Rhinolophus ferrumequinum: one gene and its partners. The protein of the gene in region 1 binds, or shares a complex with, the protein of each later gene. Links are inferred from orthologs where the notes say so. Each region holds a gene or a part of one and is shown in the gene's direction. Other genes may lie near its edges. The genes, in order: TBL1XR1, GPS2 and CORO2A.

Region 1 (10,081 bases):
CAAATGGCAACTCCATTCTTCCACTTGTTTGGTATAAAATCTTGCAATCATTGTTTAAAACGTAGACAGAGTTTAGCTCCTTCTAGCCAGCTCCTGCCACCATCACCCATGGTACTATCTTTTCCTTGGGATTTCTGCACTGTCCCCTGACTAGTCATTCTCCTTGTACTGCTGCACTGTTGCACTTGGTCCTCTGCACAGCAGAGTAGTCCTTCTTAAAACAAAAGTCAGAACTCGTCACTTCTCTGCTTTCAAAATCTTCCAGTGACTTTCCATCTCACAAGAAGAAAAAGGCCCTTCACATTTGGTCCCTGGCTCCCTCTCCTGACTCTCCTTTGTTTACTTCATGCCAATCAACTGGCATCATTTTTATTCCTAGAATACAGCACACTTGCTTTTACCTTTGTTCCTTTGTGCTTGACATTCCCTGTGCCTGGAATGCTCCTTCCTCTGATAATTGCACACTCACCCATTCACTTCACTTAGTTTTCTGCTCACACGCGTTACCTAAACTGAGCAGCCTTCTCTAAACACCCTATCTAAAATAACATACATTTTCAATCCCCTCTCTGCCTTATTGTATGTCATATCGTTTACCTGACTTGTTAGCAGTTAGGTGTGGTCAGATGCCCAAGTTCTGGCCAATGGAGTATGACTGGAAGTGATGAGTGCAAATGCCAGGACAAGTCCTGAAACAGCAGGTATAAGCCCTCAATTTCTCCTCCTTTCTAGCCCAGTGGCTGTAATCTGGATGTCATGGCAAGAGCCTAGAAAAGCCATCGTAGACCACCAGCTGGAAGATGGGTGTTGAGACACTAGAGAAATCTGAGTTCTTGATATCTTATCAGCTCTAGAGTGCTTACATTTGAATGGCCACATAAGAGAGTAAATTTTTTATCTTGTTTAAGCCTTTTTCATATATTTTCTAAGCCTTTTGTTTAAGCCTTTGCTATAGAAGTGAAACTATATTCTAATACAGACATGTTATTTTTTTGAAAGTCTGACTGCCCTCCCAACCCCCACCTGAAATGGGACTGGAATGTAAATTCCATGATAGTGGAAGCTCTGTTTGGTTCACTGTAAATAGCTTCTTGAACAGTGCCTGGCACAGTAAGCATTCAGTAAATGTTTGTCGAATGAACGAATGCAAAACCATCAACATAATGCAAGGCCTTGAGTGCTGCCCTGAGGAAGCACATGGCTGGTCAGTATAAGTAAGTAGAGCTATATGCTCTGTGTGTGGCTGCTTTTCTGTTCTGACTGAATCACAGAGGCAGGATACAACCTGCTATTTCCATTATCTGAGAGGCATAAATACTTGTAAAATGGTTGTGTGTTTCTTTTGTAATTTAAATGAAGACTCCCAAATAAAGTTCATGGTTCTAATGAAATCGGGTCACAGAGTCATGGAAAACTGTGACAAGGTTCATACTGATGAGGGAAGGTCACAAGTCGCATGCTAAGCACAGATGGAGAAAAGGAGCTTGTGTGCTGAGATCCTGAGATGTGTGGCCAAGATGTGCATCAGTCTGGATGGCAAAAGCTGATAGCTGAAAGAACCACAGACAAAGAATTGCACAAGCAGAGTCAAAATGAAACAGAGACATATCACAGGGTATCAGCAAGACGCTTGGGGGTAAATGCTACAGACATAAAGCCACTGAGTTTCTGGGTAAGAACATAAAAGGTTATAGTATAGTGCCAGGATAATATTTTTGTTATCAAAAATCTTTTTCATGCTGTGAAGATCATTTTGAACACCTTAAAAACATAGATCTGTTAATGCAAACAACTTGAAACATCATGGTGGCTTTAAAAATATATATAGGAATGACATCCTGTGGGCCCAGGACTAAGCCACCTTGACTTTGAAATGTTCTATTTCCTGGGTGATGAAAGTTGCAAAGGTGTAGGCTATCTTGCCATACCACACCCCTGGGTGTAATATTATTGAAATAAAACAAGTCAAGATTTGTTTAGTTATTTTACAATATATATGTAACTTCTGGTAACAGTTACTGGTATGAGGTTTTTCTTTGTTGACTAATTAGCTAGAAAGTTCAAGAGAGCTTTCTTAATAATGTGCCTCTTTGCTCAAGAATTTCTTAGTAATGTCTCCTTTTTAGAAACATATTACCACTTATATTCAAAGTAGAAGGGCAGCTTTTAGATTATGACAAAGCACTGAAAATTAGTACAATAGTTACTTCTTTGTCCCTACCTCCCTCTTGTGCCTAATTATTGCTTGAATTTTGGGGAGGCCTCTCATCTTGTACACTGGATATATTAGGATGACTGAAGGGTGAGGTAACAATACATGCCACCTTTATATGGTGGCTCATTTATCTGAGGATTTCACGTTGTAGCCACACTGTCATTTCCGATAGGTTCCAGAATATTGAAAATGAAAGTGATCAAAATACGATCTCATTTAAAATCCCTCCGCTGGAAGAATCAAGGCTTTTCCACATTGAGTGCTTTTTTTTTGGTCCAAGGGACTTAAAGTTTCTCTTCAGTGAGCATGGTGGGTGAGGTGCCCTTTTACTGGAGGTGATGGGACAGGTCCCCACCTTTGATAATTTTTATCATAATTTTCAAATGAAGTAATTTGTGCACAGAAAGGCCTTGTAAATCACAAGGATGTAAACAAATACATACCGTGCTTCCCCGAAAATAAGACCTAGCCGGACCATCAGCTCTAATGCGTCTTTTGGAGCAAAAATTAATATAAGACCAAGTCTTATATAAGATAAGAGCCGGTTTTACATTAATTTTTGCTCCAAAAGACTTAGAGCTGACTGGCTGGCTGGGTCTTATTTTCGGGGAAACACAGTAGGTTATTATTACTAGCATTGTGATAAAAACAACTTCTGTTAGGAAAGGAGGCAGCTTAGCGTAGGGTATAAGAATTCCAGGCTGGAAGCCCTAGACTTTAAGAACCTGAGGAAGGGTGGGCCCATCCTTGTAGAGGGAAAGATGGAAGTCATTTTCAGGGAGAATAGTGTGTGTGGGGGATCCCAGGTTTGAAGATGACCCTATTATGACTCCTGTAGTTGGGAAGTCCACATTCACTGGAAGAGTGGTTTAATTTTATAGTAGCTGCTGCCTGGAGAAGACCCATGCGTGGTGCCACAATGTGAAACTTCAAAAACAATGTAGGCCAATAGATTGCTTTCACTGGGTGGCTCAGATAATGAACCCTAATTTTACTGAGACAGTTCACTTAATTGAAGAGAGGATTATGTTTAGTAACCTACATATGTCATTAATCAACTCTTTTAAAAAATAAAATAATAGGAAGCTACTATATTCTCATCGCTTCTGGAAGTCTTTGCAAAGGTGCTAATTGTGGAGTAAATAAGCCTCATTTTTAGAATCTTACTGAAATGCAAAACTTGCTTTCCTTGTGCTGTTTCCCTGTACACTCAACACAGTGTTTTGGAAACCTGCAGTTATCTAAATTCCCATCGGGTGACATTGTTTAATCTAACATTCCCTCTTTCATATATGAAAAATAGCTCTAAGGACAATCCACTGAGAGGCTTTGAACTCTCTTTATGGTGGTTGGGACGGATTTTCCAATCCCACCCCCTTTCCTCTGATGGTTTATTCTGCCCACTCCTTTCCCCACCCTCACCGCTGGTCAGGAGAGCCTCTGGCTGCTCCCCTTCTCCCCCAAGCAAGGGCTAATCAGGGGAGAGTCGTTGACCTTGGCGAAAAAAGCACTGGTCTAATCACTGAGCTTATTAGGGCACGGGAGTCTAGAAGCATAAAAGTTACTTCCAATGAATTTTTTTTTTTTTTTTGGTGTGTAAAATTAGGTCTCTGATGTTGAGAGGAAAAGACTATTATTGCTTTAAAATAATGACTAAACCTATTTTCAAATATTGTGGTGGAAGTATGAAAACAGAATCCTTCACCCTAAAAAGGCTGCAAAAAATGTTATTTTACTTTGGAGACAGTAGTAACTGAAAATAACAACAGGTTTCTTTCAGGTCATATCTTAAAAGGGTAGCTGCTTTTCATGTCTTAGGGTTGTACAAAGGTCTTTTTAAAAGGACCCCCCAATCCCTGCTTTCTGAAGGCCTTAGAAAGATGAACACATTTGTCTTAAAAACCGAGGTGCCTCCCTTTTAAAAAACAACCGGCTGCACTCTCTTCCTCAGTCACATTGTCACATCACTCATCTAAGTTATACTTTATAAACTGCCTTGATATGCTACACACATGCAAAAAGTACACAAAGTGGATAAACTTCTGTCGATGCTGCGGTAGAGGTATATATTTAGTAATCAGTTACATTATTTTTGTGAAATGAGAGCTGATCGACCAAACCTTTCAAACAGACCCACCAGACGATAAATACCACCATATGTTTGATTCACAGTACATTTGAGCATAAACACTTCAATTACAGCTTTGTGTTTAGTATCAAAAACCATTTCTTGTGTGCGTGTTTTCCCTACAGAGTCCCTGCTCTGGATTACATTTTGAAAATCGCTTATTTACAGATAAAGCACCTTTGCAGGTACGCTTCCGACAAACATATGTATTTATGCACACAAAGGTGTGTGCACATCTTTTCACAAACAAATGTCCATATGATGCCTGCATCGCGCTCCACGCACATGCCCACCGAGTGTGTGTGCTCAGCCGCGCAGCCCGGATGCCGGCGGGGACAGGCTGCCCCCCAACACGCTGGAGCCCTGCCGGCCACCCCAGCAAACTTAACCAGCGTTGCCACATTGGCTACGGCGCGAGCCTCCCCGCCCCCACTGGGCCTCGGGCGGCGCAGCCCACACCCACCCAAGCCACCCAGCCGCGCGCGGCGGTGGGGGCAGGGCGGACAGTACCCGCGAGGCGCCTCGGAGCGCCCGCGGGTTTTTCTTTATTTTTAAAAGACTGCGCCGCACACGCCCAGCCCCCAGCACCGCCGCGGCGGGCGGGCGGGAGGGAAGGAGGGAGAGGAGCGAGGCCGGCGGAGGCACCCCCCCGCGCCGCCGCCTCCTCCCCGCGTCCGCGGCGCCCCTCCCCCGCGGGCCCCTCCCCCGCGCGCCCGCCCGGCGCAGGCCGCTCGGGTTTGTTTTGCTGCGCGGCCGCCGCTGCCGCGGGCCTCGCGAGCTCATTTGTGCCTGGCTGGTCCCCATTCCTCTCTCCCCAGTGTTGAGTGTCTGAGCCGTTGGCTGCTCCGAACCGTTTGGCTCTTTCCCTTAGTAACAGCTTTTACCTTCTGCCTCAATTCCTCTCCCCGCTCGCGCCCTTCCCCCGCGCGCCGCCTCCCCCCGCCGCCGGCCGCGTGCGCCCCCGCCCCTCCCCCCTCGGCGGGAGCACCTCCGCTCGCCACCTGGGGACCCGCGCCGCGCTCCCCGCCCCCGCCCGCCCGGCGCCCATCCCCCGCGCCCTCCGCTCGCCGGGGTTATAATTGCCTCTCACCCCCCGGAGGGGTTATTTTGGGGGTGGTTGGAGGCGGCGGCGGCGGCGGCGAGGAGGGGAATTTCCTTGTGCCTCCATTCCTGGGAGGGGGGAGCGGCGTCGGAGGCCACCGTTTCCAGGTAAGCGCTGGGGGCCGGACCCTGGGGTGGGGGCGACCGCGGTCCCGGGCTGGGGGCGCGGGCGGAGGCGGGCGGCCGGTGGGCGCCGGGCCGTGGGGGGGATGGGCGCAAGTGGAACATGCATTTTTCAACTTGGCCCTTTAGGGAGCTGGGGTTTGGGTGGGGGAGGGGAAGGCAGGGAAGGCATTTAGGGTGCCCCATCCCCCTTTTCCTCTCTCAGGCTTCTTTGAAATGCTCACGTGCCTGCCCAATCCCTACCCTTTCCTGGTCTTGGGGATCCTTACCCTTATTATGTTGTCCCCGAAAATGTGCACCTCGGCCTTCTCCCCCTCTTCCACCCTTCGTGCATTTACACCCCCTTTTTGTGTGTGTGTATGTGGGGGAAGGCTTTCAGGAAAGAATTTGCAGCAAATTGAATCAAGGAGCCATCATGAGGCCGACTCCTTTATAGCCTATTTTTAGCAGAGGAGAGGGATCTTTTCCGTGCATGTTATTTTGTTAAACCTCAGGCAGCAATGGAAATCTGCTCCCCTCCTTGGGCGCGTCCCGGGCCCAGGCGCGGCGACCCTAGCTGGCGTGCGGGGGGCTGCGGGCGGCTGTTGGGGCCGCGGGACCCGAGCGGGGGAGGGGCGCGGGGCCGCACTTCAGGACGTGTTTATTTGTAACTTAGTGCTTTTTATCGTCCTAAGGAGGTATTTGATAGAGTCACTTTGAAGTTGGGTTCAGAAGTGTAGAATTGGCAAAGTTATTGCCAGCTTCCTGGTAAGTTTTGGGTGGCAGAGTCACATTATTTTCTGACAGTGTAAAGGCCACGTTGTGAGGGTGGTTTCTCGGTAACTTCCTCTTTGCAACCGATGTCATTTTTTGAACAGAAGCAGACTTTTATTTAAGTGAAATATTAGTCTTAAGTGGCAGCTCGAGGGAAGCCATGCATGTGTTAACATGTTCAGTATTTTTGGAAGTTCCTAATTTGCTGAAACAGGCATCACTTTGCAGTGGCAACCGAGATTAAATTTAGGTTGCGAAAATGGTGTGTTTCGTGTAAAATTTGGCTTGTAAGAACTCTTTAAAAATGCTCCTGTTGTTTGGTTATAAGATTTCGAAAATAATTTGGTGATTATAAATGACAGGGGTCGGAACCTAGTTAAAAACTGGATTTCCACAGTGCCTGGAATTTACTTAAAACCTTGGACTGTGCAGGCACCAAGGTGAACAGTTTTAGTACCTCTGTGATTTACAGTTGACTTGGGGAAGTTTACTATTGGCTTTCTTGTTTTCCAAACAAGCACATTATGTTGATCTAAACAAGCTTGTTAATAAAATATGGTGGGTGAATTGGGTTATTTGTAGTTAAAGGGTTTACCCCTCCCCCCATGTAATTAAGTAATCATCTTCCTCCCTCTTTTTTCCTAAAGACTCCTTTGTCAGATTGGAAAATATGAGGCCCTGGTGGTGTTTTTATCTACTTACCTAAAACAAGTTGTAATAAATATCCTGGTTACACATTGAAGATACAGTGAGTGACTCTTTGGCTTTTCCAGTGTGGTTTATTTTCATTTTTGTTAAACCAGGCCCATGCTGTATTAGTGTGTTTTAGTAATCCTAACTTCCTGGGACTGTATGTTCTCACCATTTTAATAAGTTCATGGTCAAGGGAAATAGAGCTGCTTTGTCTCCATGAAAACGGTGTGTGTATGTTGGGTTGTGTCATGGGAGTTCATGGCAAGCAAGCCTCAGAAATTATCATTGAGAATTCTAGAAATAGTTAGCATTTACCTGTGTAGGAGGGGTGGTAGATAGAAAATATGCCTGAGAGTGTGGTTAGGCATGTGATACATTGTTTAAACTTTTTGCTCTTAAATTGAGGTTTTCCTGTTTGTTTGGAATATGATTTTTTCCCAGTTCTTTTATCATGCACTATTTATGTATGTAATAACAACCATTAAATCCATAAATAAATACTGTTTTTTGCCATATGAGTAGTTAGAATCAGATCTATAGGACAAAATACTAAACTATATAGAGGGGTGAAAACATATTTACATGGAAAAAGTTTTTCCTACTATTAAGGAACTTAAGTAAGGGACTTGTAAACGGCTTAAAAATTGTTGTAAAGCTCACCATCTTATGGAGGACGTTTTTCTTCCAACAGACACCAACTTTGGTTGTTAATATGGTGGAGACTCGCAGTAAATGGAGTGACTCCTTGTGGAGGTTGTATTTTTGCATTGGTTGCTTAAAAGAAGCCTTAAATCTTAAACATTTTAATAACTTCACAGGTGTCCAGGAATCTTTTTGTTACTTGTGTTCTCAACATCTAATTAAGGTTATCCTGATTACCATGATACATACCTACCAAGAGAACAAGAAGTAACTGCTTCCTGTGTACTGGGAGCTTTTGAAGCTAAGAGGCAGAAAAGACAGAAGCTTAATGTAAACATAGGGGTTACTGATAAAAAGAGATGTGGCTAATGGACCTTTTGAAGGAGACAACCTGTTGAATAAATATATCTGTTCGTATATTGCAATGATATATAAGTACAGTCTTGTCAAGTGAGTAGCTTGACAAAGGAATCCTACAGAAAAGGAATTTGCTACAGCAGTATTACTACAAAGAATTTCTGATTTGACACATTGGATGAAGTTAGTAGAAATAATTTGTTAGGTTTGTTCAGTTTCTGTGTTGTTTATATAAAATGAGAGGAATGTGAATGGTAGTAGTCAAGGGACAGAGATGGCAGAAATATTAGCACTGTTTGGGGCTTGGTATTTTTCTAGTTCATGTGAGTTTAACTTCACAAATAACATATAGTGTAAGTCACTATATGCAAAAAATAGAAAGCAAAAAAAATAGAAATGCAGAAAAAGAAAGCAGCTAACATGGAGACATTTATGCATTCCCATAGTACAGAAGGGCTAGGCTCCCAGGGCTGTATAATAAAGAATTGGGAAGAGCATGGTCCAGTTTGGAGACCACCATAGTGGTATCTTCTGCTCTATCACCAACAGAAACTTGAATTCAGACAGACAAACAAACAAACAAACAACTGAGAGCTGATGATGGTGGAGAGGTTTATTCACCACCTCTGGTATTGGACTCCATAAGAGTACAATGAGTTGGCCTGTTACAAAGAGCCAGAAGAAAGGGACTCTGCTTGGGCTGGGGAGCTAGGAAAGGTGTGAGTTACTTTCTGCGTCATTTATACCTCAGACTAATCCTATGAGGTGGGTGGTATTGGGTTCTTTCTGTGCGTGATGACACAGAGCCATGCAGAAAAGTTAATTCACTTGTCCAAGGCCACCAAATGACCAAATGATGCACTGCAATTCAAACTTAGGTCTGTGTGAGCCCTAGTCCAAATTTGTAGATGACTTTTGCAGTGCCAAAATTTTCCAGCTGTTTTGTCAGTCTTGTCTGTAGATATGCTTGCAAAAACGAGTGTTTTTAATCAAGTTTATAATTCAGAAGTTGGGTGTCTCTGCTAACCGGGTCAAGTGATTGCATGGATAAATGAAATTCATGTGATGCAAACATCAGTGTGCTTAAACTCCGTTACAAGTGTTTAATTAGATGCAGTCTTGTCAACTGCTATATTTTTTACCTTAAGATTGAAAGAGGTGAAGTAGCCTCTCCAAGTACTGCCCACAGAAATAAAATAAGAAGGTAAAGCAAATAAGAGTATGCCCAACTATCCTCCAAGTAGATATTCTTGAAAACTTGTATAAGAAAAATCATGTTTTGTGTAGCATAGTGATTCCGTCTGGGGTCCTTGAGGCAGATTGCCTGGGTTCCAACTCAGGCTCCATTCCTTACTACTGTGTTTCCCTGAAAATAAGACCTAGCGGGACGATCAACTCGAATGCGTCTTCTGGAGCAAAAATTAATATAAGGCCCGGTCTTTATAATATAATATAATACCAGGTCTTATATTAAATTTTGCTCCAAAAGGTGCAATAGAGCTGATTGTCTGGCTAGGTCTTATTTTTGGGGAAATAGGGTGGTATGTGTGACCTCAGGGGAGTAACTCCTGCTGTGTCTCAGTTTCCTCCTCTGTGTCATGGGGACAGTTGACTTTGTGGAGTGTGAGGATTGAGAGAATTGTATGTTTAAGGTGCTGAGAATAGTACTTGACATACAGCAAGCATCATGGAAATGTAAGGTGTTTGGGATGATGATGGGTTTGGATTTCAAGTTTGTTTCTTTGTATTACATTTTACTTGCTTTAAGAGGGGGAATAATGTCATAGAAAGAATTTGGCAGCTTTGTTTTCTCGGTTCCTAGATAAAATATTTGAGATAAATTTGGCTTAATTTATTTACTTTTGAAGTTGTGATGTAAGGTTTACTTTGAAGAATTAGACAGGATTTTAATACTAGGTGGGAACAATAATATCAGGTTACGTGGTTTGGTGTAGGTACATGGTGGGTCTTTTGCATGCCTTTGCTGCTGTTCTGTCACTTGGGCTTGGACTTTTAAAATCCACTTGTACCATTTGAAATATTTTACAACTCTTTTTAAATAAATAGGG
Region 2 (10,346 bases), on another chromosome or scaffold:
GTCCATCACCAATGCCACCGGCCCCATGGACAACAGCCTGGCGACCAGCAACACCGCCACTGAGAAGTCATTCCCCCTGCACTCCCCAGGTTCCACCAGCAGGGAGGGAGGGGGTGCTCTGCTTGCCTGCTGTGGGCCTGAGGGATACAGCTTCCAGGTCAGGGAAGCTATTCAAAGACAGGCTGGCTGCAGCAACTACAGGCAAAGGGGAGGGAACAACCCATGGTGGGAAGCAGCCAAGAAGAGGGCAGGAGGTTACTCCTGGTACACAGGGCCTGGACACTTCCCTGCCACCAAGGGTTCAGGACACCATAAACGGGACATATCAGATTTGGGGATGAGTCTTTCTGTGGTGAAAAGAGGTGTCAGAGGTCTTAAAAGAGAAATGGCAGATGGGACCTCTATGTTAACTTCCTGTTTCACCTGAAAGCTTTGCTCTATATCCTACCTGAAGCTTGTTGCCCCAATCCTACCCGTACCTTTGACGCTATCTTTCCACAGTGGCTGGTGTGGCTCACCGATTCCACAGTACTTGCGGCAAGAACGTCACTCTGGAGGAGGATGGCGCGAGGGCGGTGCGTGCAGCTGGTTATGCACATGGCCTCGTCTTCAGCACCAAGGAGCTCAAGACTGAGGAAGTCTTTGAGGTGGGCTGTGGAGATGTAACAAAGGAGGCTGCCGGGCCCTTCACAACAGGGCCAGACTGCCTCCTACCCTCCCGTCCCCAGCTGATGCCAGCTAATATTTTCTTTCTCACACAGGTGAAAGTAGAAGAGCTGGATGAGAAGTGGGCAGGTTCCCTCCGGCTAGGGCTGACCACACTAGCGCCAGGGGAGATGGGGCCTGGAGCAGTCAGTGGCCCTGGGCTGCCTCCCTCCCTGCCCGAGCTCCGGACTAAGACCACCTGGATGGTGTCCAGCTGTGAAGTGAGGCGTGACGGGCAGCTCCAGAGGATGAACTATGGCCGGAACCTAGAGAGGCTAGGGGTGAAGCACTTGGATCCAGGGACAAGGGATAGGGTTGGGAGTGGGAGTGGCAGGGAGAGGTGTGCTGAGCATCTGTCCTTGTCTCATCTTGGTTCTAGGTGGGGAGCCGTGTGGGCATTCGGCGGGGGGCAGATGACACGATGCACATTCTGGTAGATGGAGAGGATATGGGGCCTGCAGCCACTGGCATTGCCAAGGTAGATCCAAGACTTGCCTTGGGTTCTGGGAGTGAGGTTGAGGTCTTCCACTCATCAACTTCCTCGGTCTTTTGTGCCCCCAGAATGTGTGGGCTGTGTTGGATCTGTACGGGCCAGTTCGGAGTGTGTCTATTGTTAGCTCCACGAGGCTGGAGGAGCCAGAAGGCACCCAGCCTCCATCCCCCAGTTCAGACACCGGAAGTGAGGGCGAGGAGGACGACGACGAGGGCGAGGAGCATGGCCTGGGAGTAAGAGGCTGCGGCAGGGCCCTCTGGGCACATGGATGAGTGGTGGGTGGGCCATTGGCCACCAGGTCGTTTTGGGGTTCTCTGATCCTGTGCTGGATGGGCAGAAGCTTATGTGCAAGCTCTGTGTGAGCTTGCCACTCCACTTGGATGACTTGGGCCTCACCTGGGCAAACCCAGTAGCTCAGTCTCTCCTCCATACCAGGGCCAAGATCAAGTGACTATTATGCCTACAGCCCTCGAGTTCCTGGAAAACCATGGGAAGAATATCCTCTTGTCCAATGGGAACCGTACAGCTACACGGGTGGCCAGCTACAATCAGGGCATTGTTGTCATCAGCCAGCCCCTAGTGCCCCAGCTTCTGGTCCAGGTGGGCCTCACCTCCTTATCCCCAGCAATTCGCTCAGGTGACCCAGGGCCAATCCTCTTGGAGCATGGCTTTTCCAGGTTGAGGACATAGTGGAAGGCAAGCCCCTTGGATGAGCTTCCTGGGCTTTTGTTCATACTTTGTGGTGAGAGTTGCTGGTCGGTAACCAGTAAGCGCCCACCTGATGACTGTAGCGAGGGAAACAGGAGGGGAGAGCTGGGGGAGTCCAGGGAAGCCACCAGGTCCTATATGTGGGCGCAGGGAGGGCTTTCCAGAGGAGGGGTCTTTCTACTGCAAGTTAAGAGATGTTAGTGTTCGCCAGGGGAAGGAAGTCACTAGGGACAAGAATCCTTACAGAGTCAACAACAAAACCAAGGCTGAAAGAGGGGAAGAAACAACTGAATTTGCAGTTTCCAGGCCTTCAAGCATCAGAAGGGGCAGCATCCCAGGCCACACTCTGGGAGGTGTCATCTTCCCTCCCTGGCTGGGGTGAGGAGCATAGGTCTGCTGGGTGGGTGGCCTCTTCCTAAGAGGCCATGACTGGGGAATAGTTGCCTTCTTCCCCAGGTGCGGATAGATTTCCTGAACCGGCAGTGGACATCTTCCCTTGTCCTGGGAGTCATCACCTGCCCACCTGAGAGGCTCAACTTCCCTGCTTCTGCCTGTGCCCTCAAACGGGCAGCCTGGCTGCTCCGGGGCCATGGGGTCTTCCACAATGGCCTCAAGGTGGGTAGGGAGCAGAGAGACGGGCGGGGTCCTGAGCTCTGGAGGTAGGATCACAGGTATAAAGGGGCCCTGTAGTGGGTGGGCTCACACGAGGCTGTGAGTGTCATTACCTGGACAGTCGGGCTTACTGCCTCTTATCGCCCTGCCGTTGAGAACGTTGCAGTGGTAGGAAAGAGGAGGCGAAGTCTAGGTCATTGAAGCAGTGGGTGGGGCCCAGGCAGTAGGCAAGTATGAAAGCAAAGCCCAGGGACTGGTGACCTGAAACAGGGTGAAGGGCGGGGGTGGCTGCTTCTGGTGGGAGTCTGATCTCTGGGAAGACAGTAGGTCTTTTTTCCTCCTAGATCTGTGAGAAGTTTGGGCCAAATTTGGACACATGTCCTGAAGGCACCATCCTGGGACTGCGGCTAGACAGCTCTGGGGGACTGCACCTCCTTGTCAATGGAATGGACCAGGGGGTGGCTGTGCCAGATGTCCCCCAGCCCTGCCATGCGCTTGTGGACCTCTATGGGCAGTGTGAGCAGGTTAGTGGCCATGGAGGTGGGGAGGAGGGGGTGCCTGGGAGATGGCTGTCCGAGTAAAGCGGAGGTCTGTGGGCCAAGGAGGGGCTCAGCAGGCCCTGGAGGCTGACCACCCCTCTTTTCTGCAGGTGACAATTGTGAACCCTGAACCAGGGGCTGCCAGTGGGAAGAGTGTTGGAACCCAAGGGGACATGGAGAAAGCCGACATGGTGGATGGTGAGCCAGTCCAAAGGGACCAGGATCCTACCCCACCCCACCGCATACTTCTAGCCCCATTTCTGGTCACCTGTGCCCCCTCTGTTCCTTCAGGGATCAAGGAGAGTGTGTGTTGGGGTCCACCGCCTGCTGCCAGCCCTCTCAAGAGTTGCGAGTACCATGCTCTTTGCTCCCGTTTCCAAGAACTGCTGCTGCTTCCTGGTGAGTTCCCAGCCCCCCAGAACTTGCCTCATTCCCTGGCCCAGTGTAGGGCCATGCCCAGATTCCTGGGGACCAGTTGGAAGAAGGCTGTGTGGTTGAGATGCAGGGTGGGAGCCACAGCACCAAGTACCACTCATTCTCCCACAGAGGATTATTTCATGCCTCCACCGAAACGTAGCCTGTGCTACTGTGAGTCTTGCCGGAAGCTGCGAGGGGATGAGGCCCACAGGCGCCGTGGGGAGCCTCCCCGGGAATACGCCCTGCCCTTTGGCTGGTGCAGGTTCAACCTCAGGTATGGATGGGACAGAGTCATGTGTGTCTCCCTTACTGTTCTTGAGAAAGGAGGGTCCCAAGAGGGTGCGTGGAAGAAGTGACAGAACTTTTATCTAGGGGATGACCTTGGGGAGCCCGTGACCTTTGTCCTTTCTGCCCACCTAGGGTGAATCCCCGCCTGGAGGCTGGGACACTAACCAAGAAGTGGCACATGGCGTATCATGGGAGCAACGTGGCAGCTGTCCGGAGGGTGCTGGACCGAGGAGAGCTGGGAGCAGGTACCGTAGCTCCAGCAGTCAAGGCAGGCTGGGCCTGTGGGCTGCAGCAGGCCTACCCTGACCCCGCTCTCCTCACAGGCACTGCCTCCATCCTGAGCTGCCGGCCCTTGAAGGGAGACCCTGCGGGAGGGTTTGAGGAGCCTGGTGAGAACTGCGCACCTTCTCGGGAGGAGCAGCCCCCTGCAGTGCTGCTTTCTCCCTCCCTCCAATATGCTGGGGCTGAGACCCTGGCATCCAAAGTGCAGTGAGTACACGGGAGGGGGCCCCAGGGCCACTTGGGTCTCCATGATTTGCCTTCCCTTTCCCTACCTGGTTTTGCTAGTTCCTCAGTTTCCAGCCCATCCCTTTCCTCACACATTCCTTGAATAAATGCCACTTCTTTCATGCTATCAGTGAACAAAAAAGGGAACCTTGCTCTTGTATAACTTACATTTTTCTCTGTAGAATGTTTATGCGTAATATTCAGTATATTTAAAGGTGACAAGTGATATTATGGAAACAGAAAAAGTGGAGTGGGGTAAATGGATCAAATGTGCAGTTGGAGCAGGTCTATTAAATAGGGTAGTCAGGGTAGACATCAAGGTGAGATTTGAGCAGACTGGAGAAGGAGGTGACGGAGTTAGCTGAGGCGGCATTGGGAGGAGAACCATTTGGAACAGAGAGAAGAGCTAGAGCCAACTCCCTACAAGGTGGGAGTGATTCCTAGGAACAGGGAGGCTAGTGCAGTGGTTGCAGTTAGCAAGGGGAAGACGTGACAGGCCAGAGGCCTCACTGCCCTATTTCTACTTCTTGCCTGACAGATTCCGGGACCCCAAATCCCAGCGGACACACCAGGCCCAGGTGGCATTCCAGGTGTGTGTGCGCCCTGGCTCCTATACCCCTGGCCCTCCTTCTGCTGCCCTCAGAGAACCTCCTGACCCTCACTTCAGCCTAGCCGAACTTGAATGGGTAACCAAGGAGAAGGGGGCCACACTCCTCTATGCCCTGCTGGTACGGGTAGAATGAAGGGTGAGACCTCACTACTACAAGCACAGTTGGGCCACGGGCCCATGGACTCTTGAGTGATGACTGCCTTCACCTCATTCCAGTGACCCACGGCATGCACGGTGCTCAGTCTGGCGGATGCACAAGAGTATGTAGGCAGACTCTGAGATTTAGATGGGAGTGGAGCACACCTCCACATCCAGGGCCCTTGAACACTCTCTGAGGTGAGGGAGCTTGTGAGGAGCCCGGCTCCAGGCCCTGGGTAACCCCTCCTCGTGCACTGATTTGGGGAACACGACTCCCTATGACTCCCTCCCCTGTATCACTTAATTTATTTCCGTTTTGTTCCTCATTACTGTGAATCCCAGAGGAGTCTCCCTGTGCCCCCCATGAAGCTGCTTTTTCCAGGAGCCACCGGGCGGGAGCCACCGGGCGGGAGCGGGGAAGGTGGGGCCCTCTGTACAGTTGTTATGACTCTGATTTCTAAGGAGCCAATAAACACGGTCTCAAAGCACCCGCCTCGCCTGTCTCTCACGCGCCCCTCGGGGATCGTCCCCGACCGGCCCAGTCAGGGACCCACGGGGTAACCACTGCTAGCTCTGAGCGTCTCGCGGCTGGCGCCAGGCCAGGAAGCAGCGCCCGGGGGTGGACGGCGCGGGGCCGGCGTAGCGGAGGGCTTTGGACGTCACAGGCACCCGTCCGCTTCGCTTCCGGCTTTTCCTCCCCGCCCAATCCGCGAGGGCTACAGCTCTGACCCCGGAAGGATTCATTCCAGTTGCCGGATGTGACGCATTGGCCAAAGTGCGCAGTAGGCCGCGGAGAAAGCGTAGAGAAGGCGGGTAGGAAGGTGCTGGCGCCCGGGCTGCCGGGGAGAGGACGCGAGTGTCGAGACCTGGGACCCCTGCCCCGCCCGCACGCGCGTACGCGCCGAAGCCGAGGCGGGTGAACGGGCCAGGCCGGGCGGCAGGCGCCGGACACGTGATCGGGGCGGCGAGCGGGCTTCCGCCTTCGCGGACCCGGCGCGATCCACCCTGAGCGCCCGCCTTCTCGCAGGCCTGGTCCGAGGTCTGGCAGTCTGCAGCAGAGCCGGGCACCCACAGTTCAAGCGTCCCCAGCAGCACCATGCCTGCGCTCCTGGAGCGCCCCAAGCTTTCCAACGCCATGGCAAGGGCGTTGCACCGGCACATCATGATGGAGCGGGAGCGCAAGCGGCAAGGTGAGTTGGGGCCAAAGCGGGAGGACAGTCGCCCAGGGCGGCACCGCTATCCCAGGGCTGACCCCCATCCCCGGGCAGACCAGTACACCGGCGGCCGAAGCTAAAGGAGGGGTGCAACAGTCCTGTTGTGGTGGGAGTTTAAATCGCCGTTTCTAAACTGTAAAACGCTTCAGCTGGGAAGGACCTTGGAGAGCACCTAATGAAACGTCCCTCTCCCTTTACCCTATTGCAGTGGTGGGAGAGGCCTGCCCTCTCAAGAGCAGAAAGGAGCACTGGGATAACCAGTTTTCGCTGGTCTTCAATCCCTAACGTTCTAATTATTTTAACCACCCCGCCACTTCACCATTTTGCCTAACTCTTCTCCAGAGGAAGAAGAGGTGGACAAGATGATGGAACAGAAGATGAAAGAAGAGCAGGAGAGAAGGAAGAAAAAGGAGATGGAGGAGAGAATGTCACTAGAGGAGACCAAAGAACAAGTATGTAGTCCCTTGATTTCTCCCAGTTCTTTCTTCCTTTGGCTCTCCTGCCTTTATCTCCTCTCCCCTTCTTTCTCAGATCCTGAAGTTGCAAGAGAAGCTTTTGGCCCTACAGGAAGAGAAGCACCAGCTTTTCCTGCAGCTCAAGAAAGTTTTACATGAGGAAGAAAAACGGAGGCGAAAGGAGCAGAGGTGGGATTTAAGAGCTAAAATTAAAATTGGGGGCAAAGTATAACTGGGATCACGTAACAAAAGATCAGTGTTTAATGGCAAAAGAGGGGGCACTTCTCCTTGATTTTGACCGGTCTTTCTTTCACTCCAGTGACCTGACCACTCTGACGTCAGCTGCATACCCACAGGGCCTGACTGTTCACACAGGAACTCATCTCCTCAGTATGCAAGGTGAGGATTAAAGAAACCACTGGTCCGAATGGGCCCTCCTAGGACTTGTAGACTCCCATTTCAGCATCACGAAGCCCCTCTTCCTCTCTAGGGAGCCCTGGAGGACACACTCGCCCAGGTACCCTCATGGCAGCTGACAGAGCCAAACAGATGTTCGGACCCCAAGTGCTTACAGTAAGAGTAGGATTGGGTGTCTGGCCCATTTTTCCACTACTACTTCCACCCAGACCCAAGCACCCTTACTAAACCAATATTCAAGTCATGAGTGTAACATAGATTTAACTGTATAGAGAAAAATGGAGCATACACAAATCAGTTGCTACTTTCAAGGAGTTTCCAGATAGTAAGGTGTCATCCTCCCTCTTTAGACCCGGCACTATGTGGGCTCAGCAGCTGCTTTCGCAGGGACCCCAGAGCATGGGCAATTCCAAGGCAGCCCAGGCGGTGCCTATGGGACTGCTCAGCCCCCACCTCACTATGGACCCACTCAACCCGCCTATAGTCCTAGTCAGCAGCTCAGAGGTGAGTGGTGGAAAAAGGTGGGGTGGGAGGGCGGGGAGACACTTTCCTCAAGGCCCAGAGGGAGTAGTATTTGTTGTAAACAGACTAAAAGGAGGTATTAATGGCTGTGCCTCCTGCCTTTCTCAGCACCGTCAGCGTTTCCTGCAGTACAGTACCTGTCTCAGCCACAGCCACAGCCCTATGCCGTGCACAGCCACTTTCAGCCCACTCAGACAGGTGATTATACCCCATGCAGGGGACCTAGTTCCATGGGTCCTCCCTTCCCCATTCACTAACTCATTTCACACACCCTTCTTCCCTACTTAGGGTTCCTCCAGCCTGGCAGTGCTCTGTCCTTACAAAAGCAAATGGAACATGCTAACCAGCAAACTGGCTTCTCTGACTCAGTGAGTGTGGAGCCTTGGGAGGTCAGGGGAAGGGCTATGCTAAGGGGAGCCCCAGGCTGCCTCAGGTCTTGATTCTGTTCTCTGCAGTCCTCCCTGCGCCCCATGCATCCCCAAGCTCTGCATCCAGCCCCTGGGCTCCTTGCCTCCCCCCAGCTCCCCGTGCAGATGCAACCAGCAGGAAAGGTAAGGATGGTAATCATACCTGTCACAATCCTTACACTATGGGAGAAAACAGGATTGGGTAGGACAGGTGGCCCAGTCCTGTTTTTTCCCCCTTCTTCCTTTGGGGTGATTCTAAGGGTGTAAGGAAGGGAAGAGCATGCACACTGACAAAACCCTTCTTCCACCACCACCAGTCAAGCTTTGCAGCTACCAGCCAACCGGGCCCTCGGCTCCCTTTCATCCAGCACAGCCAGAACACGCGATTCTACCACAAGTGACCATCAAATTTTATCATCAGCCTCACTCCCTACCCCCCACCATGGGCGAAGGTCCCCAGTGTGCTGTAGTAGTCCCAGGCCAATAAAATCTACCTGCCATTACCTTTGGCTGCTTGTTTGTGTTGCCTCCCACCTGGACTAGGCCAGGGCTGCTTGGATGGTGGGGGTGGCTAGCAAGTCCATTATAAATCAGTGGGACAGTGGGCTGTGATGAACTCAGCGACACAATTCAATCTATAATCTATTTCTGGTTTTCAAATTTACCTTTTAAGTCAGCAAATACCCATTTATTCAAAGAAGCATCCAAGTTGGGGCTTCATATTAAACTTGTAGTTTTATTCAGGTTTGATTTTAACAAATGTGTCGGGGAGAGAGCCCACAGGAAAGGGTGATGCCCATAGGGGCAGGGCCCTCCCAGATGCCTGAGGAGGGAGCAGGTCCCCTCCCCTCTCCTCCTCTTCTCTCCCCAGCCAAAGGGATTTGGGGAGAGACATAGGCGGGGAGGGGGCTGGTCCCCAGTCTGTGGGGGTGGTGCTTGGGATAAAGGACTATGGGGAACAAGGGACCAGACTGAGGATGAATAGGGGAAGGGCACAAGGACCATTTGCCAGAATCCACAGCTCTCTGATTCCAGAATTTAAAAAAAAAAAAAAAAAAAAAAAAAAAAATACTAAACCACAAGCAGCACCCACCCCTTCTCCCCTACCAGGGCTGTAGTGCGAGGGGAGAAGAGGAGGGCAGCTTCACCGAGGCCATGGCTCACTCCTGGCCAAGGGAGCAGGGTGAAGGGCAGGGGCTCCCCGACAGATTGAAGGGGTGGGGAAAACCAAAATAAAACGTCAAATAAATCGTATAGAAGTCCAGCCAAGTGCCCCGCCAGAGGTGGGCCAGGCTGGGGCAGGGGGCCTCTGCAGGCGCCAGGATCACTGCTGCCACCACCGCCACCCTGGGTAGAAGAAAGAAACCAGGTAAGACAGGAAAACACCTTCAACAGGAAGAAGGGTAAGAACAATGCTGGGGCCAGAAAGTCAGCCTAGAAGAATTAAAACTAAAGCAACTCTGATGGGGACAACAAGTGTGTGGAGGAGGCCGAGGGGAGTTTGTCACACTCACCTGGGAGCCAGTTATTTTGCCATAGCCTTGATTGCAACAGCTGCCTCCTCTGTCATGGCAGACAGCACCGTAATCTGGGGGAACAAATGAAGAGAGTCAGAAGTCTGAGAGCTCAGAGAAGCACAAAGAGAAAAGCTGGGCACGAGTGGGGGGCTATATACCAGGATCTCCTCTCCACAGTCATACTTCTGCTCAATCTCCTTGCCAAGGTCTCCCTCAGGCAGACGAAGGTCCTCTCGCACTTCGCCGCTATCCTGGAGCAGTGATAGATACCCATCCTGGATGCCAATCAGCTGGGGGCAGATAGGGAAGGAAGCTGAAGGTTGAGGATAAGAGGTCTGATAGACAAACTGGGGTGGCAAACTACTAACACCAAATACCCTCTCCTGCCATTTCCCTCGTTTCGCAGCACAAGCTCTTCTGGTCAATCTGTATTGCCCTTACCACCCCCCACCCAACCACTAACCCATCTCTACTCAGACCATCTACATACCTGGAAATCATTCCTTTTGATGTTGGGAACATCCATATTATGAGTTGATGGACAGATATCTTCATATTTCTTCCCAGTAAAGATGTCAATACCAACCAGGTGGACCTGTGTGTATGCATCACATCAAAAGAGAAACCCAACCAAACTAGAACGGAGGAGATAAAGGCTCAAGCTGTGCCTGCTGGTAAGGGAAATCAAACTACATTGTATGGGCAAAGAGTAGGGAAGTCGGAAATGAACCATGAAGTCAAGAAAGAAATACTAAAGCCTCTAAAAGAACTGAAGGCCAAAAGGTCACCACTGAGAT
Region 3 (10,891 bases), on another chromosome or scaffold:
TGTGAAGGAGGCAGGCACCCCTTCTCTGGGGTAGCAGCCAATGGGCCTTCTCACTGGCCTCCAGGTAGACCAGCGGGTGCTGCAGGACCTCCTCTCGGAGAAGCTGCCCAAGCTGATGGCCCACCTGGGGCAACACCGCGTGGACCTCTCCTTCATCACCTTCAACTGGTTCCTTGTGGTCTTCGCCGACAGTCTCATCAGCAGTATCCTCCTCCAGGTCTGGGACGCCTTCCTGTATGAGGGCACCAAGGTAGGGAGCTTCCAGGGGGTCCCAGCAAGGCCTGCGCAAGTCCCTTCATCCTCTGGGTCTTGAGTCTGCTCCTGGAGAATGGGAGGACAGTGACACCTGTCGGGGCTGTTGAAGCCGTCTTCTGGGAGCATGGCTGTGTAACCTGTTGCACATGGGAGGAAAAGGGGTGGTTCTGCCTCCAGAGATGCTTCCTAACGTTGGCTGGAGGGAGGTTCCTTTCCCTGGAGAGGAAGCATGAACATGGCCCAGGAGGCACATCCCAACTCTGTCCGTTGCCCCTCCGGTCACCTAGGCCCCTCCTTCTCTTCCTCCTCTTAGGACTGAGCCCTGGATTGGGAGGTTGGCGCTTGAGTCTGGTCCCAGCTCTGCGCCTGACCTTGCTAGGAGACCCTGGGCAGGCCCTTCCCCACACGGTGGTTGATAACATACTGCACCTCACAGTTTACAGAGCACCCTCAGATTTGTCATTTCATTCGTTTCCTGCTGATGCCCCATGTAAGGACAGCATTATTCCCATTAGGTCCCCGGGGGCCAACCCCTCACCCAGGGTCTCAGGACAAGTCATGTAGAGCTGGGACTCGCCCCAGTGCCCAGATTCCAAGCCGTGCTCCCCATGGGAGACCCAATCCCTCCCTCCCCTGTGGTCTCCCCGCACACACGGCACCCCCAAGCTTTCAACCTCTGCAGCCTGTCCAAGGACTCCACACTGCCTGGTGTGTGGGTTCTCCTCCCTCTGGGGATTACCTGCCCCAACTGAGCGCCCACTTTGCCCCCCAGGTGGTGTTTCGCTATGCCTTGGCCATTTTCAAGTACAACGAGGAAGAGATCCTGAGGCTGCGAGACAGCCTGGAGATCTACCAGTACTTGCGTTTCTTCACCAAGACCATTTGCAACAGCCGGTGAGAACCCATGCGTGCCCCCTCCCATCACCCACACACCTGCTCATGTGTCCCCCCTCCCGGAAGCCTTCCCTGACTAACCTTTCCTTAGTGGCTTAGAGCTCCCATAACCAGCCCTAAACTTTCTCCTGTCTCAATATATGTGACTCAGGTGGAAACTGTCTTCTTTTTCACCATTTCCTCCCTGGAAGGTGAGCTCGCTGAGGGCGGGGCCCAGGGACTTCGGCCACATGGGTGGAATGAGCACAGGCGTGCCTGGGGAGGGGACACCGCTCTGGGCTGACTGTGCTCTCCCCCCAGGAAGCTGATGGTCATCGCCTTCCATGACATGAACCCCTTTCCTATGAAACAGCTGTGGCAGCTGCGGGCAGCCTACCGGGAGCGGCTGGAGGCTGAGCTGCGGGAGCTGGAGCAGTTCAAGGCCCAGTACTTGGAGACCCGGGCATCTGTGGACCCAGTGTTGCCTGAGGGCTGCACCAGCGAGGACGAGGGGGAGGGGGAGGGGGAGGCCTGACGTGGCCCCAAAGCCCTTGTTCGCCCTCGACTGCCAGGCCTGCAGGACGAGGACCGTGGAACAGTGGTGCCACCTCTGAGCCCCGGCACCATGTGACCCTGGGCAAGCACCTTCCAGTCTGGGCCTCAGTCTCCCCATCAGAACATTGTCTCTGGGACGCCACTGGCTAGGTTATCTCCTGCTGAGCACAGACCCAGGGATGCTTCCCCTTTCTCACTTCCTCCTCAGAAGTGAGCACGCAGACAAGCAAGAGTGCTGTCTTTAGAGGGAGCCTGGAACACGCTCTGAGTTTATCTGTATAAAACACTGTACGTATAGGAACTAGTTCACAGGCTTTGGAACTTACAAGGTTCTCAGTAACCATCTGCTCCGGGGTGAGCCCAGGGTTCCAGGGCGTCCCACCGCCAGGGCCTTCCCGCCCTGGGACATCCCTGGCTGCGGTTTCTGTGGGCGTCTCTGCAGGGCCAGTCCCCCTCCTGGTTCCCTGAGGAGCTGGGACCCTGTGCATTCAGGGCTTCTGTCTTTTCTGGGCCTCCCCGATGCTGGGTGGGCCAGTGTTCCAGGCCCAGCTCCTGTCTCCTGACAGGCCTGTTCCCTGAGCCTTGCACCTGTGCTCACAGCCCATTGGGGTGGGGGTGGGGTTCCCAAGGACAACCCCTGCCCTACTACCAAGAGGAACCTGGAACCTGGGGTTGCACAGAGAGCCTTCTGACCGCCCACCACCAACTTCGCAGGCTAGGACAAGAGTCACCTCTTCTCTGATGGTGATTGGAGAGTGAGGAAAAGGCAGTGCGAGGGTCAGGCTGCAGCCTGTCGCCAAGTCAGAGCGGGCTCTTAGGCACACACCCACTGTGTGCAGGAACTCAGTGTCAGTTCTGGGCTCTTCCAGGCCCTTCCTCAGCAGACAGGCTCCTGCCATCCCCCTCCAGGCAGGGAGTCACGGCTGCACAGTGGTTTTGGCTGCTAATTTCTCAGCAAACCTGTGACTGCCACAGTATAGCCTTGAGCTCAGCAATCTGGTATGAAGGATGGGGGGTGCGGCGTTCCCACATGGAAACCCCCCTGTGATGTGAGGCTCCTGTGCAGGGCTGGGGAAGGGGACCGTGCCTGTCCCTGGAGACCAGGGACAGGCCCTCTGGCACTCATAGGTGTGAACGTGGCACACCAGGCACCCAGTTCCCCCACACTGCGCCCCTCCACGACCCTGGGGAGGGGACACTCAGCGTTCCTTTCGTCCCACATTCCCATGGGCTACTGGCTGGCCCCAGGGCACCAGGTTTCCTGGGAATGCCCCACACTGGAGCTTGACAACCTTTCTCATTTTTGCTAAACTTTTTTCATCTGCCGAGGCCCTTTCACCAGCAAACAGTATGTGTGAAGCATGCATGATGGTGGTATGAGAGTGGACTGGGGGAAGTCCTGGCTGCTCCCCCAACAGGCTGTAACCACAAGGGCCACCACAGGGGAGAGGAGATGACACCAGTGCTGAGCCGATGCCAGGCACAGTGAACAGCAGTGAGCGGCCTTTTTATGAAGCAAACATCACCAGGAGGGCCCTGCAGCCTACGAAAGGCCAAGGCTCCAGGAGACACAGCTGGCCCCTCAGATTCCAGCCTTGGAAAACAAATTCCCACCTCAGCCAAAAATAAAACTCCCAGATCGGACAAGATCGATGGCCCCCTCCCTCTCCTCCTTACCCGTTCCCCACCTCTCTCCTTCCTCTTCCCCTCCAACTTCTGCCCCATTCTCGCCTCCATTCTGCCTTCCTCCCCAGGCCCCCTCATCCTCGCCCTTTTCCTCCTCTGCACGTTTCTTCACTCTTCCCCCCCATTTCTTATTCCTGCCACACACACATCAGAGGAGAAGCTCTGCCCAGAGCTGGATACCTACACTCTTCGCTCCCCCACTGGGGGTTGTGGGATGCTTTACAGGTGGCCCAGTGCTGTGTAACCTGGTTCCTATGTGGCTGCACCGTGGAATCGCCTGAGCAGCCTTTTAAAAGGACTGGTTCTGGGCCCCTCTCAAAGCCTGTTGGGGACCACAGGACAGTGAGGACTGACTTGATGGGGCCTCCTCCATCCCTGAAGAGGGAGCTAGAGGCAGAGGCAGGAATGAGAACTGCCTGTCCTAGAGCACTAGCCCACTACAGGCCAAGCTCAGTTTACAGATAAAGAGGACAAGACTCAGAGAGGTTAACTAACTTGCCCCAACTCACACAGCCCCTGAGAAGTTAAGCCATACTCAAGCTTAGAGGCCCTAACTGCAAAACCAGGGAGGGCTCCTCCCAGCTCACCTCCCCTTGTCTGGAACCTAGAAAATCTCCCCCAAGGGCCCAGGGGAAAGGACAGGCCTGGCCCATGGCCTGAGTGGTTGTAGGGTCTGTGGGGAGAGCTCCAGGCAAAGGAAAATGGGAGGAATGTAGCAGGGACAGGTGGGGGGAGGGAGTCACACACCAGAAGGTCTGGGGCTGCTGCTTGCTGCTCCGAGGGAAACCGCCCACCCTCCCCCTGCTCTTCCTGAAGGGTGTTTGGGGCCTATGCCTGGTGTCAGGTTCCTGGCCCTGCACCACAGCTGTCGCCCCCATCCCCAGGGGCCGCTGCTTTCCAGAGCTGGAGGATCTGATCCCTCACAGCCCCCCTTCCTACCCCAGGGGATGGGACCTCTTGCTCAGAGCATCTCTCTCCAGACACTAGGCCCCCAGCAAGCTGAGGTCCACACTCCATTCTACAGGGGAGGGGGAAGGAGTTACCCAGGGGGAAAATTTCCAAGAATAAAGTAACTCCTCAAAGGAGGAGGAAGGGCCTGGAGGACACTTTGGGAGACCCCTCACCTCCACCCCAAGGTGGGAGGGGTACACTCACTTCTACAGACTGCCTGTGTTCAGGGCTACTTTCCCCCACACTCAGAACCTTACCTCCCAGTTGCTTCTACCCCTAGTCTTTCTCAGCTCACTCTCCCATGGGCACAGGGCCATGTTGTACAGAAAGCTCCAGTTGGGCATGTAGGTGGAGATATCTCTCTCTCTCTCTCTCTCTCTCTCTCTCTATCTCTCTCTCTCTGTCTCTCCCCCCTCCCCCTCCCTCCCTCCCTCACACACACACACTCTGGTCCCCCACAAGGCACTTACCCACACAGTAGATTAAACAAAGCTGGGCTATGTTGACACCTGGGAAAGGAAAGTGTTGGTCCCGGCCCATCCCAATCAGCAATAAGGCCCAGTAGAAGGTACTGGCGGGTGGCCCCAACTTTGGGACCAGACCTATTATGTGGTTTTCTAGCTAAGGGGCCCTATGCAAGTCATCACCACTCTGGCCTCAGTTTCCCCATGTGTGCAATGCAGAGAATGGTCAGGGAGTAGCCTTCCTCAAATGGACCAAGGTTAGGGGAAGAGAAGGGGCAGCAAAATGAGGACCCCCCCCACACACACACAAATACAGCATCTTCAGGAAGAGTCCCAGGTTGTGTCTATTACAGAGGCTTCCAATGGCCTCCCCTCTGTCCTTCGGTCCATATGCGCATGGCCCCCAGAGATCCCTATTAAACCCGTCTCACCCCAAATACAGACACCTACCATCATGGCACGGGACAGGAAGATGCAGAATGGCAGGGCACACCCACAGGGCATTGGGAAGCCTTCCTGGGGAGGGGTGTTGGTGCCAATCCTGGAAGGAAGGGTGAGTCAGCTTAGCCAGAGATAGCAGGAAGAGAATTCCTGGCGGAACAGAGTGTCAGCAAAGACAGGGATGTAAGAGTGCAAGGGGGTGGGGGATACACCCAAGATACTGCCCAAGCCCTAGGTGAATTAAGCATTCAGATGTCTTAGCGTTGGAAAGGTGCCCACCTGCTAGGTGTAATAAAAAAACAAAGGCAATATTGAACCATAAGTATAAGGAACGCCCACAATGTTCTGATTTTCCATATGCTTTTTTGAAACATCAAATATCCAACTCATGCAGATACTGGAAGCGTGCCTTCAGCCAGCCCACTGAGCAATCCAGCTCCAAGAAGCCTGGGTCAGGGCTGCAGAGTGGAGGCTTTGCAGGCCAGACTGAGGGACTGGGCTCTGGGCAGTAGTCAGGGAGCCCATCCAGCTCTGGGCAGAGGAATGGCCCAGTGAACACTGAATCACAGGCTTTGGCCCTGGCTGTTCTAAGGTGATAATCAAGAGCCCCCAAGTACTTAGCGACTTGTAAGCCTCAATTATTTCATCTGTAAAGTGGGGGTAATAATAGTGGCTAAGTAAAAGAGTTACTAGGATTAAATGAAATAATGTCTGTAAAGTGATACGTAGTACGCACTGTTATTCACTCAACAAATACATATTGAGTGCCTACTATATGCCAGGTAGTTCTAGGCCCTGGCACATTAAATACACCACTGTACAAAACAAAGCTCTTAGTTTGGAGTGGCTGTAAGATTGGGCTTGGTACACTTGAAACCTGTGTAACTATACTAACCATTGTCACCCCATTAAACTTCAATTTAAAAAAAAAAAATTGGGTTTGGGAGCCACACTGCCTAGGGTTGAATTATTAGCTCTGTGACCCTGAGTGAGGTACTTAACCTCCCTGTGCCTCAGCTCCCTTATGTGTAAAATGAGTAATAGTATAACCTCATAGGCTTGTGTGACGGTTGAGTGAGGTAACGCAGTCAAGGTGCCTAGAACAGGGCCTGGCTCAGTAAGTGTTAGGTAGTGGTGTTACTAAAAGGCGGGGCCTCCCCATCTCCTCCCCATTGCCTGGGAGGCTCAGGACCCCAAGCCCGCGAGGCTGGGCAGTAGCGCCCCCTCCTGGCTACCGGGAGACGGAAGGGAGTCCTCCTGATACTCCAGCGACCCTCCTTGCCCTTTTGCTCCCTCCCGGGTTTGCCCAGAGCTTCTCTGTGGCAGGCTCTGTGTGCGCATTTTATTTACTGGGCGGGTAAATTCGATCGTCTCATCTAATTCTCAAGCAGCTCTCTGAGACAGACACGGTTACTGTTTCCATTTCACCAAAGTGGAAAGGGAGGCTCCTGGGGATCGAGTCCCTTGTCCTGTGTCACGCAGAGAGGGAGCGGTGGGACGAAAAGCCAGGCGGGTCTGACTGTCCCCAGCCTCACTCAGCCTGGTCGCTGGGGAGCCCGCCCCAATCACTGCGGCGTGCGCGGACCGGTGTGCGCGCCTGTTCTGTGCCAGTGTGCGCGTCGGGAGACCAGCCCTCGAGGACAAGGAGCAGGGTAGGGGTGGACTAGGAGCAGGGTAGGAAAAGGAGGGGTGGATGGGGGAAGGAGGGGTGGCCCCCGCGGGGCGCGCGGGCGGGGCTTGTGCGGGCCCCTGCCCCGCCCACAGGCCCCGCCCGCCTGGCTGCGGGGGGGGGGAGGAGGCGGCGGCTCTGTGCACCGGGACTCGGCGGGCGGCGAGGAGCGCGGAGCAGCAGCCGGAGCCGGACACCACCGCCGCCACCGCCACCTGCGCGGCCGTCATCAAGGTAGGGCGGCCCCGCGCCACGAGCCGTGCCTTCTCGGTCTGCGCGCTGTGTGCGTGCTGCGCCTCCTGGCTGTAGCACCCCAGGAGGGATGCTAGGGCAGGGCGCGCCGCGGGGGACCCAGCAGAGCGCGGGGGACCTGGCTTCTAGCCCCTACGCGTGACCTTGCACAAAGCACTGTTCTCCAGGCCTCAGTTTCCTCATTGGGATGGAGGGTGCAATAGTGGGCCCCTTCCTCGCTGGGCTGCGGGGAGGGGCCGCCCCAAGGTCCATGTTCCCGAGGGCAGGGGCCCGGATGGGCACAATCTGCACCGCCCACCCCTCCCGCATGCAGTAAGGGCCGCTCACCCTGGGTGTGGCGAGTCGGTCGCGACAGGCCCCCTTGTGGCCTGAGTGTCCCGCGGGACCCGTGTTGGGACTCTCCCCCTCTTAGCTGGGTGACCTGCTGGCCCTAGAAACAGGACAGGGGACATCTCCAGGTCTCTATGGAGCCAGCTTGGGCATGCAGGGTGAGACCGTCAGAGTCTGCCCGCCAAGTCGGCCTCCCGTTCTGGAGCTGGGGGAGCCCTGAGGTGAAAGTGGTGGGGCCCTCAGCCTCAGACTTGCCTGGACCAGACCCATGCAGGCACCTGGATTTAGGGAATGGTACGGGAAGTCCCTTAAATTTCAGGTGCTGGCACCTAGCTCTGTGCCCCAGCGGGTGTGATAGGGCTGGCTCACGTCTATGTGTGGATCCCAGAGGCGACCCCAGTGCCAAAAGCACTGTGTGTCTGAGTTGGGGTGGGTCTGGAACAGCGCACATGTCTGAGGGACTATGGCTTCCTGCTCTCTGGATAAAGACCCCTGGCATCTGGGCCAGCCCCTCAGTAGCATTCCTTCTGGAAGGTCTTACTGCCCCATTGCACACCCCTTATGATGGGGATCTCATTAGCTGTAAACAGCTGGAATCCGCGGGCCCTGCTCTGGGCACACAGACATCTGACCCCTCCTCCGCCACCCAGAGGCAATCACCTGGTCCCATAAATCTCACCTCCAAGCTGAACACCTCCAGGCCTAGCACTGTTTCTCCTGCTGGAGCAAAAGGGAGCAAAGGCAGGATGGGGGAGCTTGGATGTCTGCCCCCGAGTGGGCAGTAATCAGCCTGGGGCTTGTTCAGAACCCCTTGCATCAGGACCAGAATGTGTCCCTGTGCCTCCTGCACTTCCTGTGCACCTTTGGCTTAGCAGCTGCCTTACAGGTCTCAAGTGAGGAGGAGCCAGAGGAGTCCTTCTCCTGTTGCAGGCCCTGACTGAGAACGAAGTCTGGGCCTTCCGGTCTCTCGTCCCCTTCATGACCTGCCCCTCTCCCTGGAGCTTTCTTAAAGCCAAAAGAAAATCGGGGCCACCTGGGCAGGTAGTGAGCTCTGTGTCAACAGAGATATGCAAGCAGAGGCTAGATGAGCACTTGCTCAGGGTGAGCTACCTTTGGCCGCAAGTCTGGGATCCTAAGCGCTGAAGTAGACTGTCCATGACCTTGTCTTTTGGCCATGGTGGAGCTGCACAGAACTTGGAACTAGACCACAAATGAGTGGTATTATCCCCTCATAAAAGCAGACTAAGTATATGTGCTGTCACTCGAGCAGAGCTCCGATGCACAGGCTTAAGTACTTCCTAAGTCTCCTGTCATCTCTACGTGTGTATTATCTGGGCCCTGTTTTTCTGCTCGGCTAGTCCAAGCCATTTTGGCGTGGTTTAGGGGCAGGGCAGATTCTGGTAATTGAAAAGTCATCCCATGCTAATAATTTTAAAATGTGCCATGGAATTATGGAATGTCCAAGCTGAAAGGGATCTTAAGAAATCATCTCATCCAACCTCCTCATTTTATAGACAGGCATCCCCTATCTCTAAAGGGGATGTGACTTGTCAAAGGTCATAAAGCAAACCAGCAACCAAGCCCAGGGATCCTGATTCTAAGACGTGTGTGTGTGTGTATGTGTGTTTGAAAACACATACCATATAGTAAATGAAAGTGGTCTGTATTTATTCCTATAAAATTAGCAAAAATAAATTAAAAGGATAAACCTCTATGCTGGCAAGGCTGTAGGGATTCTCCAGTGGCATTTAATTTTGTAGTGCAACCTGGCATCTCGTGACAAAAGTCCACAAAAATTATCTTAACTGTCCTTTGCCCCTAGCCTTCTAACTTTGAGTACTTTCCCATAAGGAAGTGAGAGAAAGAGAGTAGTGCTATTATTTATAAGAAGTTGTCTTATAGTGAAGCAGCTCTTGGTGTTTTATCTGAGGATTAATAAACATTTCATGTGAAAATTACAGCTTAAAAAAAACAGTGGCACTAAAGCATAGTAGTGTGGCCCATAGTAGAAAGGCCCTGAGACTAAAGTCAGCAGACATAGATTCCAGGATGAACTCTTCCTCTGCCCCACTCTGCGACCATAGATGACTCCCTTGCCCTTTCTGTACCTCACTTTCCCCATCTGTGACATGGGGTAATTTCAGTGATTGCTGGATTTTTTTCAATTCTGACAACCCATGTTCTAGACTTAGCAAACTTCTTTTAACTGAAGTCTTTATTGGAAGGAGCAGTGAACACAAAGATAATCAAAGAATGTTCTAGCGTCCCTCTACCATCACCAAATGAATCCCCTTAGAAGCAGGCAGCTAGCCTTTTTCCCCTGAAAAGAGATTTTGTTCAGCCTTTGACCTTTGTTATTTCCAAATGGCCAGAACCTGGATTATTTTAGAGCGTAGCATGTTTTTGTTTTTATTTTCTCTACCATATGGAGACAGAGACTTTTTCAGGAGGACTGGAAAATAATTCAGCACGATCCTCTATTTATTATTTGAAGTCTACAATCTGTGCCTTGCCTCCTTCAGACAGATAGAAGGTGCTTTGCAATTCCACCTAGTATGAAGGGCCAGGAGTACATGACTTCATCACTGTGGACAAAAACATATTGGGCACTTACTGTGTACTAGGCCTTGAGATCCTGGGGGCCTGCAGGCTGCCATGGGAAACATATTAGGTTAAACTATGTGAAATGGCCAATATCTGGCTGCTTTTGACTTACAAGAAATGGCAATTTCATTTGACTGAGCCTAAATGGAAAAAGATAATTAAAAAGCAGTGTGTTCCTTACCATAATTGAGAGATTGGCAGGGTGTGGTGGGGGCTAGGAAACTGTGATTGTGAGATTGGAGAAGTCAAGGAAAAAGGTCGTGGGAGCCTCACCTTGAAAATTCAATAATTGAGAATTAAAAAATAATAATAATAGCTAACATTTATTGAGTACTTACCACCTGCCTTATTCTGTCCTAAGTGCTTTACATTGTTCATTTAGTCACTCAACCACTCACTTATTAAGCACCTACATTGTGCTAGGTATTTTGAGGGGGAGGGTCTTGACAGTGAAAAAAAAAAAGGACCAAAAAATCTGCTATAAAGGAGCTTACAATCTAATAGGGAAGAAAGGTGAACAATAAGTAAAATAGATGGTGATAACTGAAATGGAGCAAATAAATAGGAGTATATTTCTGATGTGTGGGGGGAATAGAAGGGAGGGGGTTGCAGTTTTAAATAAGGGGGTCAGAGAATCATTGAGAAGGTGACTTTGGGCAAAGGCTTGAAGGAGGTGAACAAGTGAGCTGGGCTGATTTCTGGGGAAAGAGCCGTCTGGGTGGAGGGAAGAGGCGGTGCAAAAGCCCTGAGGTAGGAACAGGCCTGGGAAGTTCAAGAAGAGCAGGCTAGGACAGAGTGACGACGACGGGAG

Evidence for each region.
Region 2: TBL1XR1 (region 1) and GPS2 share a complex: the UniProt entries of both Homo sapiens proteins name them as parts of the N-Cor repressor complex. The link is inferred for Rhinolophus ferrumequinum from reciprocal best matches to the Homo sapiens genes TBL1XR1 and GPS2.
Region 3: TBL1XR1 (region 1) and CORO2A share a complex: the UniProt entries of both Homo sapiens proteins name them as parts of the N-Cor repressor complex. The link is inferred for Rhinolophus ferrumequinum from reciprocal best matches to the Homo sapiens genes TBL1XR1 and CORO2A.

The regions. Positions count from the first base shown.
Region 1 is NC_046285.1:66,367,424-66,377,504, forward strand, and holds the start of TBL1XR1 (F-box-like/WD repeat-containing protein TBL1XR1), read left to right. Parts: upstream 1-5,299; 5' UTR 5,300-5,552; intron 5,553-10,081. UniProt on the Homo sapiens protein: F-box-like protein involved in the recruitment of the ubiquitin/19S proteasome complex to nuclear receptor-regulated transcription units. Plays an essential role in transcription activation mediated by nuclear receptors.
Region 2 is NC_046304.1:11,525,861-11,536,206, forward strand, and holds GPS2 (G protein pathway suppressor 2), read left to right. Parts: upstream 1-5,774; 5' UTR 5,775-6,113; coding exon 6,114-6,207; intron 6,208-6,573; coding exon 6,574-6,683; intron 6,684-6,762; coding exon 6,763-6,875; intron 6,876-7,005; coding exon 7,006-7,085; intron 7,086-7,176; coding exon 7,177-7,265; intron 7,266-7,453; coding exon 7,454-7,607; intron 7,608-7,733; coding exon 7,734-7,823; intron 7,824-7,913; coding exon 7,914-7,993; intron 7,994-8,080; coding exon 8,081-8,176; intron 8,177-8,349; coding exon 8,350-8,433; 3' UTR 8,434-9,071; downstream 9,072-10,346. Other genes in the region: NEURL4 (neuralized-like protein 4), read left to right, coding at 1-89, 502-647, 762-986, 1,085-1,183, 1,267-1,431, 1,634-1,798, 2,363-2,521, 2,863-3,042 and 6 more; EIF5A (eukaryotic translation initiation factor 5A-1), read right to left, coding at 9,558-9,620, 9,708-9,839, 10,040-10,144. UniProt on the Homo sapiens protein: Key regulator of inflammation, lipid metabolism and mitochondrion homeostasis that acts by inhibiting the activity of the ubiquitin-conjugating enzyme UBE2N/Ubc13, thereby inhibiting 'Lys-63'-linked ubiquitination.
Region 3 is NC_046295.1:54,548,216-54,559,106, reverse strand, and holds the start of CORO2A (coronin-2A), read left to right. Parts: upstream 1-7,015; 5' UTR 7,016-7,128; intron 7,129-10,891. Other genes in the region: TBC1D2 (TBC1 domain family member 2A), read left to right, coding at 65-250, 1,028-1,149, 1,502-1,742.